Linked DNA regions of Danio rerio. The protein of the gene in region 1 purifies or fractionates together with the protein of each later gene. This does not show direct contact. Links are inferred from orthologs where the notes say so. Each region holds a gene or a part of one and is shown on either strand. Other genes may lie near its edges.

Region 1 (10,740 bases):
AACATGAAAATCACTCGCGTTTGACGTGCGTTCCGAGTCTGGTGTGAACGCAGCATAAGGGTGCTTTCGCACTTGGTTCAATTGCCTGGACCGTATCAAAGTTTGATTGTCCCCCCTTGTCACACACACACACATACGAATGAGCGTTATGAAAACGATAGTTTGTTGTACAGTTGGCGGTTCACTTCCATTATTTGGCAGTTGGTGACGGTCACAAAAGCAAAGCGTCAAAAGACTTCCGCACATCCCGGTCAATTTGCTTTTACTGAATCTTTTAGTTTTGGACATACAGAAAGCGACTCACGTCTATCTGCCGCAACCATATTATAAACATTCAGAACATCACACAGTAGCCCCTTTCACACATACAGACCTTTCCGGAAAATTGCCGGCAATTTTCCGGAAAGGTTGTATGTGTGAACAGGTCCTTTTTGAAAATACCGGTAAATTCGCTCTGGCTATTTTCCGGAAAGAGAAGTTGTAACATTACCGGCAATTTGCCGGAATGCTGCGCTGTGTGAATGCAGAAGGAAGATTGCCGTAATAATCGCGTGCACGTCTAGAACATGCTGACGTGAGACGTCTGCTTTAGCCAATCACAACAGTCAGACGCATTTACGTCCGCGCGGTTTATGAGAATAAAAGCCTTTGAATATTTTTCCAGACACATTTATCTGCTAGAAGTTAGTCAGATCACGTTTCTATGTTCTTCTTAGTGCCAACTGTGTAAATAACCATCGATGAGATGCTTATGATAAGCCGTTGTTTGTTTACCTTCAAGCTTTGCGTGTGCCTGTGAAACAGCCTGTGAGCGCCTGCACACGCTCATATTATGAACATCTCGACATGCGAAAGTGATCCTGCAAAAGTTGTTCACAATATTGATCATCCACAGAGTTTGTAATTTAGTCAAAGGTTTACAAACACAAGCGCAGCCGTTTAAAGCTCATTTGTGGTGAATGATGTCAGAATTTACCGGTATTTTGGAATGGATGTGTGAATGCTCTTTTCCGGCAAATTTCCGTAACGTCCTCGCCTGTGTGAACAGCGCTTTTTTGAATATACCGGTAAAGTCGTTCTGGAAATTTTCCGGATATTTACCGGTATCACTGTGTGAAAGGGGCTAGTGTCTGCAGAAGCTGATTTTAGAAGAGACAAGAAGAAATTATCACTGTGTTTGCCCTGGCTCAGTCCCGCTTGTCACCAAGGTACGATACGTCACACACACACACACACACACACACACACGCGCACGCAAACGAACGTTATGAAAACGATAGTTTGTTGTACAGTTGGCGGTTCACTTCCGTTATTTGGTATGATTGCATTCATACCAGAAGTGAACCGTACCAGAGTTCGCATGAACCGTACCCCAGACCACCTCTTTCAGGCAGACTCGGGTACGGTTCACAGGTGCGCACCTGAGTTCAGAAGACACGTTCACACTAGCTAAATGTACCATACTATGACGTCAAACGACCCCAGGTGCGGACCAAAAGTCTTCGGGTGCTTTCACACCTACACTTTTGTTTCGGAACGTGTCTCGTTTGCCCAGTTAGCGCGGTTCGTTTGGCATATGTGAACAGGGCAATCGCGCTCTGTTCCATGCCAAAGTAATCGCTCCGAGATCGCTTGAATGAGGTGGTCTCGGCTCGATTGAAACGAACCCTGGAGCAGATCGATTGCATTGAGAAAGCGATCCGATCCGAGCGCGGTTATATCACAGTGTTTTATGGATATGTAATAGGCATACGGCTATAAGAAGAGAGAATTATGAGTAGGGCGGGAAGTTTCGCGAGTCTCCGGATGCCCGCAAACGAGTGATGATCTCCCGGTAATCTCGCGTCTCCCTCCCGGTCCTCAAATAGGCTATGTCGCGCACCCTTCCCCACCGCATCTCTCCGCAGACACATCGCGCGCGCACCCTGTCAATCACCACCAAACCACCACCTCTCCTGACAGCTGAGCGGGACGCTGCAAAATAAACCCTGACACCCTGACTAATGTGAGGAGAGTTTACTCGCACGTGACTTGTTTTTAGCTCTTTTGGTCCGATTAGAAACTTTGCAGTGTGAAAGCGAACCGCTCCAAGAGCAAAGAGCAACAATGTAACAATTGTAATCTCTGTTTCGGAACAACTGAATCGATTCACTGGTGTGAAAGCACCCTTCGTGTGAAAGCTCCCTGAAAGAGGTGGTCTGGGGTACGGTTCATGCGAACTCTGGTTCGGTTCACTTCTGGTATGAATGCAATCGTACCAAATAACGGAAGTGAACCGCCAACTGTACAACAAACTATCGTTTTCATAACGTTTATTCGTTAACGTTTCATAACGTTCATACCCTTGGCAAAGGATACCAAAAAAGTGGTACGGTACGATTCAATTTTAGGTACCTTTTGACTGTAGAAACGGCCATAAAAGTGTACCCAACCAAACCGTACCACTCAGTGGAACCGGGCCATTAGACTTTGATCCTAATTGTGGCGTTTTGGTGACTGTTGCTTTAAATTCAAATGAGATTTCAGAAGAGGGCGGAGCTACAAATGCCTGTGTCAGCATAGTGGCAGATTCAAAAATAAGACTAACGTCCTATGCTAATGAGGGAGAGATGGTCACTTGTGGGCGGGGCTTCCCCCTCTGATGACACGTACAAGGGGAGAATGTCAATCAAAGTGTTTCTGCAGACTGTTCTTATCAAGTCTGATTATAACGAATAAAATTAGTTCATGTTTACCATTATGAGCTGGATATATTCACACACTGCTGACACACAACTGTGTTTAACCCCCTTATAAAAGTGATTTCTGCATAATAGCTCCCCTTTAAATAAACATAACAAATTACCTGTCAGGGTGCAGCTGTGTGTACTGTCGAAGCCGGCGTATGCAGATGAGTTCAGTGACTCCAGCGCCATGCAGAAGTTTCCCATCTGTGAGCGCATGCTGCAGCCGGTGCGCGCAGCTCCAGAACTCATCCTCCAGCATCTGCAGTTTAGCAGACACAGAGCTGCATATAACCGCAGTGACCAGAACCGAGCAGTCAGTGGTGATGCTCACAATATCAGATCTCCCACTGATCGACTCTTTCCTGAGCCTCAGCCCTCGGCCCACGCGGCGCTCATCCAGCTGACAGATGTAGGACACCGGGACGGCTCCGGTGCATGTGCTGAAATGCTTCAAAACGCTGCTTTTAACACCTTCAAGAATCAGAACGTCTTTGCATCTCTGTTTCAGATCCACATCAACCACACCGCTCACAAACACAACATCAATACTGGAATCATGCAGGAGTTTGTATGCATTTTCAATCCAGGATTCCTCAGTGATGAACAAATCGGTGATGTGCTTGATGTTTCCAGGCCTATTAAAGCCCACATGGCGATATTTCTCAGATAAATCGCCGTTTATTAAAGCGATATTCAATGGACGTCCCTGAAGGCGCTGAACTTGGGTCGTCTGTTGGACTGAGAGCAGTGTGACATACCCACGCAACACACACGCATGATCTTCAGATACGCCTGGGATGCAGCACGTTGCCAGATTGTGTATATCCAGATGTGCGCGGTTTTGCAACTCATACGCTTTTAAAAGTAAATGCATGGAGGAGCATCCGTGGCTGACGGCTTGTGCGATGACAGTGACATCATGATGTGTGTGTTCGGTTTGTGCATTAAAGTGTCTGCTGTGTTTGAGGGTCATATGCATGCTTTGATTGTCCAATTTAATATCTGATTTCGTAAAATCTTGCATAGTAACTTCTGATTGTGTGTGTTCAGTTTGTGCATTAAAGTGTCTGCTGTGTTTGAGTGTCATATACATGCATTGATCATCAGATTTATCATCTAACTTCCTAAAATCTTGCATATTGTGTTCAGTTTGTGCATTAAAGTGTGTGCTGTGTTTCAGTGTCATATCCATGCATTGATCAATAGATTTAATATCTGATCCCTTTAAATCTTGCACATTGACATCTGATTGTGTGTTTTTAGTTCGTGCATTAAAGTGTCTGCTGTGTTTGAGTGTCATATGCTTGCATTGATCATCAGATTTATCATCTAACTTCCTAAAATCTTGCATATTGACATTTGATTGTGCGTGTTCCGTTTTTGTATTAATGTATCTGCTGTGTTTGAGTGTCATATCCATGCATTGATCATTAGATTTAATACCTGATCCCTTAAAATCTTGCACATTGTCATCTGATTGTGCGTGTTCAGTTTGTGTATTAGCATATCTGCTATGTTTATGTGTCATATCCATGCACTGATCATCTGATTTAATACTTAACTTTCTAAAATCTTGCACATTGTCATCAGATTGTGTGTTTTTAGTTCGTGCATTAATGTATCTGCTGTGTTTGACCATCATATCAATGCACTGATCATTAGATCTAACATCAGATTTCTTAAACTCCTCCACACTGACCGCTAACTGTGTGCATGCATCCAAACACTCCTGCAGTCCTCCCCTCATGGCTGATTTAATGTCCGACACACTGATTCCTCTGTTCAGACACTCCAGAGCGACTCGGCTCCAGGCTCCGGCCAGAAACATCAGCGTGTTCGTGCCCGAGTGGAAGAGCTTCTTCTGGGCCAGAACTGTCTCGTGCAGCAGCTGTCCGACAGATCCGTCCAGCTCCAGGTGTTCCAGCAGACGTGGACAGGATCCGATTAAAACTGCATCCCCGGCGTCTTCATCTTGAATGAACTTCAGCCGTTTGTTTGGACCTAGAAATGCATGAGCGGTGGATGTGATGGCCTGCAGCTGCTGGAGGCCGATGTGACGCCGCTGAGAGAAAAAAAAAAGAGGAGATAGTTTGTAAAAATATTGAATTATATAAAGAAAAGGACACACTTTGTGTTCCAGTGTAAATTATACCTTGCTACGTGGTCAGGGTTAGGATGAGGGTCAGGTTTAGGGTTAATTGCATGAAATTATGCATCATTTATAGTTATTACTACATTAAGTACATGGATCATACAATTACTGAAATGAAGTTGACAATTTAAAAAAAAATATGAAATTAATAATAAAGACAAATAATAGTGCAAACGTATTTTAATAATAATATAATATAATACTAATAAAGATGTTATATATGAAGTTAATAATGTCATTATTCAACGTTTATTAAATATTACTCATCTTTTAACTCTGCATTTAATAAGAATTACAATTAAACTAGCACTGCTTCAGTTGTGCTCTCTTCTCACATAGATTAAACCCCATTGTAACCCTTAAAGTGTGAAATAAGTTAGGAAAGACAGCAAATGCTTTCTTTGTAGCTACAATGAGAAAACTGAATGTTTCTGAATGACAACAGTCGATAACAGTGCATCCAGCATTAGCAAAGTAGCTTCTATTGTACTTCATGCAAGCAAAACAACGCACTTTCAAATGATCTGGGTATCATTTTGCTCAAAATCCGAGTCAAATCCAAGTTTGTACACGAAAGCTTTCATAAATAACGTCCTGATTGAACTGAATCGTTACAAACCTTCATCGCAAAGCTGCACTGTTTACAACTCGGGTCCATGTTCTGAAATGCGCACGCGCACTGCACTAGCACACGGCTTCTATTGAATAGTTGCTAAGAGACGGACGCCAAACGAACCAAGCTGTCCATCAAACTCAACACATCCCGCCCGCTCATGTTTGATTGGTAAAACCGTAAGCACCAAGAGTAGCTACGCCTGCTATTGGATCAATCAGCTGTCACTCACATTGGGACCACGCCCAGTCTGCGCGCTCGAGGAAGCCACGACAGTTGCTGACAGCGTTTCCTTCTGTTTACTAACATCTCACGCAGGTTACAACACGGTGCTTTTATTCTGCGCTTTTTATCAAAATGGTAAGTGTTATTTAGGTTACTTTTAATACTTTATTAACGAATTCGTGTCAGTATAATGTATTTAAAAGGTTAACACGCTGTTTGTTAGCTAAACAGTTAGCTTGTTGGCGTTATTGTTATGGAAACCAGCGGCTATTCGCTTTATAAACAGTAAAACAACAGAGTAAAAACAGTTTAATTTACATTATGAATAAAACATGTTTAATTTGAATTACACGGTTATTCTTTACAGTATGTGTTGAATCTAATTAATTACACTTAAGTTAATGTAAATCTACGTGTGTGATTATGAAACTAATCCATCAACCCAGATTACAGATTAACAACGAGTGAGTAAAGTATGTAAAGGTGTGATTAAGTGGCCTTTATTTAACCTATTGATTGAAAATCCAATGTTGAGGCAAAAGATGCAAAACCAGATTAAACATGAATGCAAACATATTTACATTAAAATAAGACATTTCGCATCAACATTGCATTGCTATTTTTTCCTTTATGAATATTTTCTGCTCACAAATGCTCCATTTATTTCAATATTAAACATTAATTTTCTTTTTGAATATTAAGAACTGCTTTCTGTGTGAAAATATTGTAAATATAATGTATTTATGTGATTCAAAACTGAATTCTCAGCATTATAAGTCACTTTGGGTAAATGTTTTTGCCAGTGATTGAATGTAAACGTAAATATAATCACATTACATAATTAAATATGAGTTTTTGAATATCCTAAGATTGTTTAGAATATAAAGCCTAAGCTTAAAGAGACAGTGCTCTGCATATATGAATACAAACATCACAAATCTATCTTTTAAATGAACATTTTCTATGGGATGCTTTACAATATTATATATGTACATATATGTATAGAGGTAAAGTTGGTTTTATATTCGCATATTCGTTCATTTAGAAGTCTCTACATTGTTTACCATGTTACTTTGAATATTCAATCGGAATTAGCATGCAAGTATGACTTCTAAACAACATTGACACTATGCAATTCACTGTAAACAATGTTGTACTTTGATGGTCATTTGCTGCTAATATGATTTCGCTATTTACAATTTTCAAATAATACTTTTCTGAAATTACATTATTAAGGAGAATGTCTGAATATCCGAATATAAAACCAACTTTACCTCTATCATATATGTCCGTTGCTGAAGCCAAATCTGGAGCTAATCTACCAAAATAACGTATAATGATCTAAAAATTAGCCCACCTAAATGTATTTGTTAGGAAAAAATATAAATTAAAATGTAAAAAAAGAAGTGTAAAAATCAAGAGAAACAAAAAAATTATAGTTAAAAATTTGTAGTTTTGTATTTTCTTTCTATTTCTAACAATCTTTGGTGACTAAAATATTATTCAAATAAATATATTGGTCTATTAAATCTGTTTTGTTTAAATGCACCAAAATATATGACCTTTGTTCCCTGAGAAATGGATAAAAGTATTAATTTTCAAAATGCGATGTACTCGTTTATGCTGAACATATGAATTATGAACATAAACACACATAAAATATAAAGAAAACCCATGATAATCAACATATAGGATGTGTCTGCTCACTTATTTCTGCATTTGCTCTTCTGTTGCACCTCCAACAATGTTTAAGTTCAGTTGATAGTCTTATTTGATTAATACATGACATGACTATTTCAAAAACAGTTTCATAAAACTTTAAAAACATAATTTAAAGTGTAATCTTATCGCCCCCTGGTGGAGACGTGTCTGAATCTCTCTTTTTGCTGTTATTTTCAAGGCGTCCGGCTTCAGGAAAAGCAGTGCTTCAGCAAACCAGAGGAAGAAAGCAGGACCCAAACCAGAGCTGACAGAAGAGCAGAAGCAGGAGATCAAAGAGGCGTTCGATCTGTTCGACACAGACGGCTCTGGAACCATCGATGTCAAGGAACTGAAGGTACAGACACTCTGAGACTCTAGTGTTCGCTATTGAGAAAGTGGATGAATCTTGCCATTACATAACACTGAAATCTGCTAAGTGACTAGTCTTACTTCTTATTCACTACTGGTTGATTAAATGTCCCACAACCCTGAGGTTACATCCATAATCTGTTATCAGATTATATGAGCCAGCCTAGCGAAAGGGATGCTTGCAGTTATCCTCATCAGTTTGCATTTATGATATCTCTGTTGATATTATAATGTGCACTTTTTGATGCAACAAAAACATTACAAATGTTGTCAAATTGCTTAATATTTAAATATTTTTGCATTCAAATGTGTATACAGTTGAAGTCTGAATTATTAGCCTCCCTGAATTATTAGTCCCCGTTTATTTCTGTTTAATGGAGAGCAGATTTTTTCAATACATTTCTAAATATAGTAGTTTTAATAACTCATTTCTAATAATTGATTTGTTTTATCTTTGCCATCATGACAATAAATAATATTTGACTAGATAATTTTTAAGACACTTCTTAAAGTGGCATTTAAAGGCTTTAATAGGTTAATAAGGTGAACTAGGCAGGTTAGGGTAATCAGGCAAGTTATTGTATAATGATGGTTTGTTCTGTAGACTATCAAAAAAATATATAGCTTAAAGGGGTTAATAAATATTGACCTTAAAATGGTGTTTAAAAAATTAATAACTGCTTTTATTCTAGCCAAAATAAAACAAATAAGACTTTCTCCAGAAGAAAAAATATTATCAGACATACTGTGAACATTTCCTTGCCCTTTTAAACATAATTTAGGAAATATTTAAAAAAGAAAAAATCTTTAAATTTATGCTTTAAATTTAACATTTTGCAATAAATAAATATAATATGTTGGGGAAAATAATTAACTAATTTATTAGACCGTTATGCACTGTCATTTATTTCATAATAATGGAATTATGATTTGTTTTTCATCCAAAATGTCCAGTATTTAAAAATGTCTCTACATGTATAGTTTTATAAAGAGATTTTTACTCTTTCATAATTGACATTTTATCCTGAAATGTCATTTTAATATTAAATAATACATTAAATAATGAGCATCAGAATTTTTCCAGCTTATTAATTACTATGACTTAAATACTATTACTAAATACTATGACACATTTTCTGAAATCTTATGGTTATTTTGAACATTAAACAATTAAAAGAAAAACACATTCTTTCAAAATATCGCCTCAGTGATCATGAACTAGAAATAGAAAAGGGCAGACATAAAAAATCCTGGACCCCTAAAAAACAGAGAATATGTAAACAGTGTGACACAAACCAAATAGAGGTTGAGACACACTTCCTTCTGTTCTGCCCTAAATACACCACGACTAGAGAAATATTTTCCCCCAATTTGAAACATTGACTTATTCATTTTTCAATTTAAATGATTCAGAAAAAACTTTACCATGTACTCGGAGAGGATGAATTGACATCTAGACTAGCTGCAAAATATGTATACATACACACCATAAGAAATGGTTAATGTAAATTCATTTATCTTATTTAAATAATTTAAACTTATTATTATTATTATTGTTGTTGTTGTTGTTGTTGTTGTTGTTGTTATATTTATCAAAGTTTTTTGTCATTATTTCTTATCTACTGTATTATTATTATTTTTTTGATGGTTTTAATATATTACATATTTAAAGTGCTTTGGCAATACTGTACTGATTCTTATGCCAATAAAGCAACTTGAACTTGAAAATGGGGTAGAAATATGTAATTAAATATGCACTAATTTGCATACATTTACAGAACAGAAAACTGAAGATTGGAAATGGGCAAATTCAATACTCTTATTTATTTATTTATTTTTCAACATATTAAATGTTTATCACTTCATTAACCTGAATATACAGTCAACAGAGATAAACACACACACACACACAACATGTTTTTCAGTAAAACATTGTAGGGCTGCACAATATTTAGTTTCAGCATTGATATGATCTGGAATGTAAACATTGACATGATTTATATTTAATTACTGAAGGTCTGTACCTCAATATTATCAGACTCCACCAAAAACCATAAAGCGCTGCTTGGTTCATTTTTATCTTTGTTCTGTTGTTTTCATCTGTGCTTTAAAATAGTTTCTGCACCTACAAAATCATCCAAATCCATGTGCAATTATGAAATTCTTTACAGATAGAATTTTAAAGTCATCTTGAGAAATTATATTATCACTTTATATTGCAGAAAAACAAAAAAAAATCGCAATGTGAGTTTTTTCAAATATCGTGCAGCCCTAAAATTTTGAATAAATTAAGTCAGATTATTTTTTGATTCTTAAGTGAAAGATGAGCACAAAAACACCTCCTGGTTCCCATTGTTACACTGCATACTAACCCAGTGTCTGACTGTTGTCATCAGGTTGCGATGCGAGCTCTGGGGTTTGAGCCGAAGAAAGAAGAGATAAAGAAGATGATCGCTGATATTGATAAAGAAGGATCGGGCGTAATCGGCTTCAGCGATTTCCTTTCTATGATGACACAGAAAATGGTGAGCAAACCAAACAATAACAGAACAATCTACAGTAAATCTGACCGCTGGAGCGCACCGCAGGCTCTGCAGAGAACGACGCCAATGAGTCTTCACTGTATGATGTGATGTGAACCACTGGACTGACAGAGTCCAGCTTCAATCTAAATTATGAGTGAAATTTGAATTCTTTTTCTAATATTTCCCAAGTGATGTTGACAGAGCATTTTTCACAGTATTTCATATGTAAAATTGAAAATGTAAAATCTGCTGAGGTCAATAATAAAATCCTTTTTTCTGATTGGCTATATTAAATTTCATAGCATTTAAGACCGGCAAAAATAAGCTTTAAATATAATATTCATTCATTCATTTTCCTTCGGCTTAATTCCTTATTTATCAGGGGTCACCACAGCAGAATGAACTGCCAACTATTCCTGCATATGTTTT
Region 2 (9,998 bases), on another chromosome or scaffold:
AATAATAATGGAGATCATCCTCAATATTCAGTTGTGGCCTGTATTTATTTTTAATGTATTTAAATGTCAGAAAGGTGTCAGAAAGTTTACCCTGGTGCTATAAAATCAATCTGCTGCAGCTGACACTATTGCTGTGTTGCTAATCTAACATAATCGCACTAATCCTTTAAAAAAGAAGTTTAAAGACTGATGCTTTTCATTTGCATGTTTTTGTTTTTTACTATTAAAAACTACTATTTATCTTATGTGGCTTATGGTTAAAATCAATGGTTTAATACAATTTATTTGACTTTTGAAAATCACAAAGCGACTCCCTGTCATTGTCCTGCAACCCCTCAGGGGGTCCTGGACCTCTCTTTGAGAACCACTGGTCAATATATATGAATTTACTTTTTATTTTTATTATTTAAAGCCATGCCTTTGCTTACGTTATTGGTAATAATATGTAATATTATAGTCCAATGCAGTAGAATTTAAAGTAGATGTTAGTCTCTACATTCATAGAGGCTTAACTTGAACACTTATGCTGATATTTCAGGTGCACGGGCTGTTGCATCTCTTTTCTCTCTGGTCCCGATGGAAGCTTATGGGTTGGTTGCTGGATTATGTTTCCAGGACTGTGGATCCAAGAAGCTGCTTCAGCTCCTCTCCTCTAAACATGCTGCAATAAGCACTATGGTCCTCTGCCACAGAAATGAAACTATGCTGGAAGAACTGAAGGTTTGTGCAGTTGAGTGCTTCTTGTTATTTAGACTTTTTTATTTTAAATTTTAATTATTTTGTTTAGCAGTTTGTTTTAATTTGATTTAGATGTTTGAGTTGATTAGGTTCTGCTTCAGAAGCTCTCATTTTGAATCATATCTTCATTCTCAATTTGACTCAGAGATTGAAAATACACTCACAAGCCACTTTATTAGGTACATCTGTCCAACTGCTTGTTATTGCAAATTTTTAATCAGCTAATCAAATGGCAGCAACTCAATGCATTGAGGCATGTATACATGGTCAAGACGATCTGCAGCAGTTCAGAACGAGCATCAGAATGGCGAAGAAAGGTGATTTAAGTCACTTTGAACATGGCATGGTTGTTTGTGCCAGATAGGCTGGTCTGAGTATTTCAGAAACTGCTGATCTACTGGGATTTTCACGCACAAATCAATCACCAGATCTCAATCTAGTACAGCACCTTTGGGATGTGGTGGAATGGGAGATTCGCATCATGGATGGGCAGCCAACACACTGCAAAAAATGCTTTTTTTTCTTAGATTTTTTTGTCTTGTTTTTAGTCCAAATATCTAAAAATTCCTAAAACAAGAAGAATTTTCTAGACAAGCAAAACATTTTATCTTGTTTTGAGAAATAATATGCCAATATTAAGTGGGTTTTTCCTTAAAACAAGCAAAATAATCTGCTAATGGGGCAAGCAAAATAATCTTACGTTAAAAGAAAAAGCAAGATTTATTTGCTTACCCCATTAGCAGATTATTTAGCTTGTTTTAAGGAAAAACTCACTTAATATTGGCATATTATTTCTCAAAACAAGACAATATGTTTTGCTGTCTAGAAAATGCTTTTTGATATAAGAAATTTTCGATATTTAGACTAGAAACAAGACAAAAAATCTAAGCAAGAAAAGCATTTTTTGCAGTGCAAATCTGCAGCAGCTGTGTGATGCTATCATGTCAATATGGACCAGAATCTCTCAGGAATATTTCCAGTACCTTGTTGAATCTATGCCTATTTATATGAATCTATTTTTTTCCAAAACACATGAAATGTTTCGCACAGAACATGTCACTTAGGACAATTGTCATACTTTCAAGTCTTAAATATTTTCTTTTTGTTTGAACTATCTCTATAAGCATTGATCTTAAGTCTATATAGCACTGTCTCCTCAAATCAAGGAGGTCACTGGTTCGAGTCCAATTCTGGTTCTGGTTCCACTGGTTCTCCCCATGTTCGCATTGGTTTCCTCCGGGTACTTCGATTTCCTCCACAGTCCAAAGACATGAATCCAAATGAAGTCAAACTTTTTTCCAGATTTAATGAACTCCATTTGTTGTTCATTCAAATGTATTGCATTGATTTCCTCTTTCATTGCTCTGAAATGATGAACATTTGTTCCATTTGTCGGACAGATGACTTGCCAGAGAGCAGAACATGTGTTGCGACTGACTCTGAGGGAGCCCTACGCCCTGCTTGGAGGCGGCTGCACAGAAACACAGCTGGCCACCCACATCACACATATGGTATTCTATTACACTGAGTTACACATCAGATTGACGTTCAGTTCTACAATATTGATTAGAAACTTTCACAAGTCAGAATTTTACAAAAGAGTTTGTGCATTATATAGTACATTCCTCATTTAGAAATGTAAAAAATGTAGATATTATTGGGGGGTGTGCAAACAAACATAGATATTATTGGCGGGGTGTATAAACCATTACAGTTTGCAGCTTTTGTTGGATCATTCACAATTTTGGGTTGCATCATTTTAAGAAACAGGTGTGCGCCTCCAAGAATAAATTGTTTTTTGAAAAAAGCAGCTCCTCCAAATTGGCAATATATATATATATATATATATATATATATATATATATATATATATATATATATATATATATATATATATATATATATATATATATATATATAAACATCAATAAGGTTACCATACATCTGTTTAAAACAATGCGCTTGATTGTAATAAAATGTTTTGTTAATTTAATCTACAGACAATTACATGTTTGCATTAAATAAGTAAATTTTATTTATAAACAAATTTCAAGAGGATCATATGCTTATGATTGATCACAGCTGGTGCCGCATTAGCCATCACATGATACAACTCATAATAAATAACCAGAGTTTCTTACCTCAGCTATCTTTGTCTTGATGTATCCCTCCTTCCACCCCAACTCCTCCTCCCTTTTCCTTGATAGGGTGGCATCTTCACAGCAAAAATGTCACTGGTTCATATCCTTACCAGGCCAGTCGACGTTTCTGTGCAGAGTTTACATGTTCTCCTCGTGCTCACGTAGGTTTACCCGGACATAACCATTTTTTAAAAAATGTCTGGTGGTAAATCATACTAAACGTTTACTATTTAAGGTCCGTAGGATTACCTAAATGATTTACATTTGCTAAATGACAGAATAATGAGAATTTTTCTATTAATTTCCAGAGAGTCAAAAGTTTTCATTTCTTTGGTATTTTTTTAGCTTTGCTTTTAAACTGTAACTCTTTTCATATGTTTTGGGTATCCTTCCACTAGCTTCTCACAATAGTTTGAAGGAATTTTGGCCAATTTTTCCTGACATAACTGGTGTAACTAAGTCAGATTTGTTGTCTGTCTTGCTCGCACAAGCTTTTTCAACTCTGCCCACAAATTTTCTATAGGATTGAGTTCAGCACTTTGTGATGGCCACTCCAAAACATTCACTGTGTTGTCCTTAAAGCACATTTGAAATAATTTGGCAGTATGCTTAGGGTCATGGTCTGTTTGGAAGACCTATTTTTGGCCAAGTTTTCATTTCCTGGCTGATGTCCTAAGATGTTGCTTCAGTATTTCTACATAATGTTCTTTCTTCATGATGCAATCTATGCTGTGAAGTGGACCAGTCCCTCCTGCAGCAAAACAGCCCCACAATATGATGCCCCTATACTTCACAGTTGGGATGGTGTTCCTAGGCTTGTAAGCTTTCCCCTTTGTCCACCAAATGTAACACTGGTCATTATGGCCAAACAGTTCAGTCTTGGTTCCATCAGACCACAGGACATGTCTCCAAAAATTATTCTTTTTCCCAGTGTAATTTAGCAAATTGTAATCTAGCTTTTTTTGTTGATTCTGGCTCATTGATTTCCCCATGTTGTCACAAAAGGAAACAATATGTTTGAGGTTTTCCCTAAATAGTATTCTACAGTTGTGCCTCAAATTAACTCAAATGTTGTCAATTATCAAAAACCTCAAAAACCTTGCCGACATCATCTTAGCTTTTCAGAGGCATAATAATGCTATGTACACTTGACTTTCAAGAAAAGTTATAACAATTTTTCAAAAAATATCTCTCTTATTATTCTGCTATTAAACATAACAGAAACAAATTTGATAATCCTAACTTAACTAAAAGAGAAAAAGTTTAGTCACATTAACATCTGACTTTTTTAAATGGTTATGTGCCTTTTTATACGGTGTATGTAAACTTCTGGTTTTAACTGTAAGTGAATTGACTAAACCAAATTGACACCATAGATTAGCTCTTAGTCAGCAGTATATCTCTCCATAGCTATTCCTAATTTGTAATTAGCCATAAATAAGCCCCTATCTGAGCTCAAACTCTCCTCTCGCCCTACAAACGGGAGGGAGCCCTAGGCTGGAGGATCTTATGAGCGCAGGGCTCTCTCCTGGGACAGCATGCCAAACACGCTTTATAATCTATCATCAGCTATAAAGTGTGATCTCTTGAATTTTAAATAAGATTGAATTATTTTGAGGCTGCAGTGGTCAAAAATTATTAAAAACACTTTGACAAGGTTTGATGACTGTAGAAACCAATTAATTATCTTCAAAAACTTGGACAAGGAGTTGTGTAGCATGGTCTGAAAGGAAGGATGTGATCCTATTAATGCTGTTTGTTGTACTAAGCCCTGAGGAACCCCTATAGCTGGATGTTGCAAGTGGGTTACTTCACCTATCAGAGACACAATCACAATAGACATTCCATTGAAACACCCATTAATTAACTTCTGTTTTAATTCTTGTTTTTTACTTTACAGAATCAGTCCACAGCTCCAACCACTGCTGCAGCTCTGGGTATTTCCCATTCAGAGTTCCTGATGGCAGTCGAGTCATTTCGCAGTTCTTTACTTGCTGTGGCTCTTTCCTTAGAGCATGATGGACAGGACTGTCTCATTGACCTGACATATGGCCACAGATGGGTCATGGATATCAGTTCTCAGACAGAAGTTAAGCACACCTGTGGTTGTGGACTGCTGGAGGACAGATCCAACCTGGAGAAGACTCATCTAAATACAGCTTGTCAGACTTTTTCTCCTGTTTTCCTAGAAAACAATGACACTCAGCCTAAAGTATTAGATTCCTTTTCTGCCAAGCTTAATGCGTTGAATGTGGCAGTTGAGATGGCTAGTTTGGTTCTTGATGTAAAATATATAATCAAGGATGTTAATTGAATGTTGGTGAAGAATTGTGATTTGAATCAAGGATGATTGGTATGGTAGGTTTTTATAATCTGATGTTTTTTTCCTCCAAGTGGTAATATAAAAATATTATATTTCTTACTCAAAACAAATTTTATGAGGAAAATATTTGTAAACAAAAAAACTGTAATGTCAATTTTATTTTAAATAAAATGCTCCAAGCCTGGGCTAAAATGAACTCTCACGTGTGGCAAATGCAAATAATGAAGATCTTAAACAACTATAAAAGTTTGTTTGGCAAATACTAATATCAATGTTGATAATAATTATTATCAAATAATATAACTATAATTAATTAGGCAGTAAACAATATATTAATGGCCACTAACTTTTACCAACCATTGGTAGATTTGCCAAAATTTTACTTTAGGCCAGCTTCAAATGTCAGAATGGTTTTTTAATTAATTTATTTTTTTTATGCAAACAGTTAAACATGTTGCCACAAGGATGAATTTTTAAAGGCACGATAAAGTTTTGTGACTGTAGGTGCATTTCCTCAGTTTAGCAGTTAAAGGTGTGGTAAAAGTTTTATTTTGGAGTCTGCCTCAGTCACTGTCATTGTGCCTTTGAGCAAGCACTTATCTCCAGGTAGAGTTGTTGAAATTATTGCAGTATAAGGTTTAAAACATCTGCTTAATTTCCACACAAGTTTCTATTTTAAATGAAATTATACGTTGTAGGAAAGAACAAGCATGTTTCCTAGTAATTTTTTACATAAGGGTAAAGTTTTCCTTTTAAATTTATATTGTATTTTAATATACAGTTATTAATGGATATTAAAATATAGCCATAGATACGGCACATCCAGGCCCGGATTAAGAATTCAGAGGCCCCTGGGCACAATGTCCTGTAGGGCCCCCTACCAGGCCGCACCCCTATAGTTGAATTTAAAAATTTGATTAACATTCATTCATTCATTCATTTTCTTGTCGGCTTAGTCCCTTTATTAATCCGGGGTCGCCACAGCGGAATGAACCGCCAACTTATCCAGCAAGTTTTTACGCAGCGGATGCCCTTCCAGCCGCAACCGATTCCTGGGAAACATTCAAACACACACTCATACACTATAGACAATTTAGCCTACCCAATTCCCCTGTACTGCATGTCTTTTGGACTGTGGGGGAAACCGGAGCACCTGGAGGAAACCCACGCGAACGCAGGGAGAACATGCAAACTCTACACAGAAATGCCAACTGAGCCGAGGCTCGAACCAGCGACCTTCTTGCTGTGAGGCGACAGCACTACCTACTGCGCCACTGCTTCGCCCTAGATTAATATAATATTTTTTAAATAAAGTTAATCTATAATTTATTGCCCACATTTTTTTAAACAAATGATATAGTACATATATTTCTAGTCTTCAAAGATTTGACTAATTTTTAAGCATTTTAAGTACACTTTGAAAAAATACTAATAAAACTAGTGAACATGAATGGTTTTTAATATACTTGTTCAAGTTCACTGAAGCAGTTCTAAAAAATTATATTAAAGGTTATTTTTAATGTATAACTTACACAATTATAATGCATATGACTTGGATAGTTTACAGTTCTATAAATCTGAGTCTTCCATTATAATACACTTACTTATTAATGATTCCTACTGTCTCCCTCGTGGTGAAGAGTGGCTCAGCAATTAAAGATTCGAGTCAATTTTATACGGTAACAGCTCATTGAACAATTTACTAGCCTACTTGTTTCAGAGTTCTTAGTTCACTCAGTGAGTCGACTCGCTTTATGCCTCTTCAGATTCAAGGGAATCACTCGGACATTTTACTGAACCGATTCAACTGATTCAAATCAAATGAGCGATTCGTTTTCGTTGTAAACATTGTTTAATCGTGGTTGGTAAATTCTGAGGTCTGAAGATACACTAATCTGGCTCAATGTCCATAATTGACGACTGAGGAGTATTGAGGTACCAATTACTTGTCTTTAAAATAATTTATGTATTTTTCTTTTCCAAATGTTTTAGCTTTTTCTGATTCCACAGCTTGCTCACAATATTTGCTATACTGTAGCCTAAATGCTGGCCTTTTCCCACTTTGGTTCCTCAGAAAACCTTTAAAAATGTATACAGTATTACACCAGATATTTTATACAAACACCCATAACTGATTCATATTTTATACAATTTGATATTTTTGATTTAAAAGCCTGTAGGCCACATTCTTCTCTCTTTACATCCTACTTTCAACGTCTTGATTAAATGATTGTCGCTTTTATTAAATAAAACAGAGGATTAACAACATTTCTAAACCAAGTAGTTTAATTGTTCTATTAATACCTTTTTACTTTAAAGATGCAGTAAAATAAGCATCACCGACTTGCAAAATTGTGTTCAGAATTACCAGACACTGTCAATACCCCTAATCATTCAACAAAATGTAATTACTGATTTTCAAACGAGCCGGTTAAGACGCTTAGGTTTTAATACTGTAGCATCACATAGTATTGACACTGTTTAGGGAAATCAACCCACTTACAATTATCACAAAAAGATGACACAGTTTCACACTAACAACTGCAACAAAATATAAGCAAGTAATAAAACATTCTGTTATATGATTTATCCTTTACCATTACATTTTCGAGTTATACATTTTAGTTACTTTCCTACATGTGGCAGAATTTCCCTCATAATGTATGGTAAATCAGGTAATGAAAACAACCCCAAGAACAGCTCTTCATTGCAACAGTTGAGAAGATGAATTCATTTTATTCGTTGTGGCTCCTCAGAAGATGAAGGGAATGAGAGATCTTCTTGATCTGGGGAAATCTTTGAACTTCTCATTATAAAACCTGGAAGAGATTAGAGTAACCACTTCTAACATTTATTTCCGGCATTGTACTGTCGAAAATCAATTTACTGAATCAATCGAAATTCCAAATGAAAGCATGTTAGAGTAGTGCAGTTTGTATATTTCTGAGTAATTGATGAATTTCGGTTTACTTGTGATGATGATAGGCTCTGGGGCCTATGAAGCAGATTGTGAAAAAAGCAAAAGCGAACGTTGGTAAAGACCATGTAGCAACAGCGTATCCCAGCCACTCCACTATCTCTCCGAAGAAATTTGCTCCAGACACGTACTCGAACATGCCGCCTGCAGTTAAAACGAACACATAAATCAGCTCAGCATTTATTCGCTGACACTAATTGGGGTTTGCTTAGAGAGACTAAGATAGAGACAGTAAATGATGAGTGTTGCTAACATTACAAAGAACCTGATGTATTTGTACCTCTCGGGATTTTATAGGATATTTCTCCAGGGTTTCTCAGGTTTCGAAGAATGTGGTCACTGTGGATATTGATTCCCATTCCTAGGAAAAATATGATCAGACCTAGAAGCAAAGATACAGTTTAAAATAATTATCATATACATGTGTATTCTAAACTTCATGAACTCTTTATCACTTTAAAAGGCACTTTAACTGCCTGGTTGGCCTTTTTCCCAGTTTATTGTTAAAATTAAAACTTTTACTTAGAGTGCAAGTTATTTGCAGGTTATTTAATTCTGCTGTTATTACACATACTATACAATTAAATCCATAGAAAATGTATACCTGGTACCAATAAAATGAATTTTTCTTTCAATTTACAGTGATTTCTTTTAACCATTAAACTACAGTGTGCAATGAATCATTTAAAAATTGTGTAAAACACCTATTAAAACCCACATGAAAAGTTCTTGATCATTTGGTATCAGAAGTGGCTTATACGAAAAGCAAAGGCCTCAAAATTGCACTCATTTTACCAAAATAAAATATCATCATGCCTTAATTATAAATTATTTAATTAGGACAGTAAGGTATGAATTTGCTTAGACAAAACTTTTGTAACTTAACAGAAATAATGTACAGTTGTAACGGGGAGACTGACACGGAGGGATCCATTTTGCAGTATTTATTAAGTCACACTTAAACATCAACAATGTCGCTGTGCGGACATACAACATACACATCAAAGGAGGTTTAGCAGATAACAGACGCAGAGTGATTACCAGGCTTGGGTCAGAGGCAGGCAGCGTGATTCAGAGTCCGTGTAACAGGCTTTGGTCAGGTGCAGGCAGCGAGAATCAGAGTCCGAGGAAAACAGGCTTTGGTCGAGGGCAGGCAGAAGACAGAGCAGAGTCGTGAAACGGGCTGAAGTGGTAAACGGGAGATCAGGCAGGATAGAACGCTCAGAAATGCTGGCCGGGACTAAACAAGACTTCGCACTGAAGTGTGTGTGAGAGCTGCTTATATGTGGTACGTGGGTCATTAGTGGAATGGATAACAGGTGTGCTGGGAACAGAGTGAAATGGATGACGTAATGGTTAGAAGTCCGGAGATGGTGACCTCTGCTGGCCAGCGAGGGGAATGACTGGGACCAAGTCGGTGACAACAGTATAGTATTATAATATATATAGTTAATATTGTGTATGACGCCCATTAGCTTGGATGACTGCATCCATAAATTTCTACAGTGACTCAAATAACTCATTAATAAAGTCATCTGGAATGGCAAAGAAAGCGTTCTTGCAGCACTCCCAGAGTTCATCATGATTCTTTGTTTTCATCTTCAATGCCTCCTCCTCCATCTTACCCCACATGCTCAATAATGTTCATTTCTGGTGACTGGGCTGGCCAATCCTGGAGCACCTTGACCTTCTTTGCTTTCAAAAACTTTGATATGGAGGCTGAAGTCTGAAAAAGGAGCGCTCTTCTGCTTAAGAATTTTCCCTCTTCTGTGGTTTGTAATGTACTGGGCAGCACAAACATCTTGATACCTCAGACTTT

What was found.
Region 2: the proteins of bbs12 (region 1) and mkks purify together in Homo sapiens (co-immunoprecipitation; 4 studies listed by BioGRID and IntAct, counting the BioPlex papers as one, with this or other methods). This does not show direct contact. The link is inferred for Danio rerio from reciprocal best matches to the Homo sapiens genes BBS12 and MKKS.

What each region holds. Positions count from the first base shown.
Region 1 is NC_133189.1:1,596,494-1,607,233, reverse strand, and holds the start of bbs12 (Bardet-Biedl syndrome 12 protein), read right to left. Parts: upstream 5,588-10,740; 5' UTR 5,537-5,587; coding exon 5,498-5,536; intron 4,789-5,497; coding exon 2,846-4,788; intron 1-2,845. Other genes in the region: uncharacterized protein cetn4, read left to right, coding at 5,849-5,851, 7,617-7,772, 10,183-10,311. UniProt on the Homo sapiens protein: Component of the chaperonin-containing T-complex (TRiC), a molecular chaperone complex that assists the folding of proteins upon ATP hydrolysis.
Region 2 is NC_133188.1:38,936,005-38,946,002, forward strand, and holds the end of mkks (molecular chaperone MKKS), read left to right. Parts: intron 1-538; coding exon 539-729; intron 730-2,138; coding exon 2,139-2,249; intron 2,250-4,779; coding exon 4,780-5,193; 3' UTR 5,194-5,394; downstream 5,395-9,998. Other genes in the region: srd5a2b (3-oxo-5-alpha-steroid 4-dehydrogenase 2b), read right to left, coding at 7,955-8,021, 8,173-8,323, 8,460-8,561. UniProt on the Homo sapiens protein: Probable molecular chaperone that assists the folding of proteins upon ATP hydrolysis. Plays a role in the assembly of BBSome, a complex involved in ciliogenesis regulating transports vesicles to the cilia.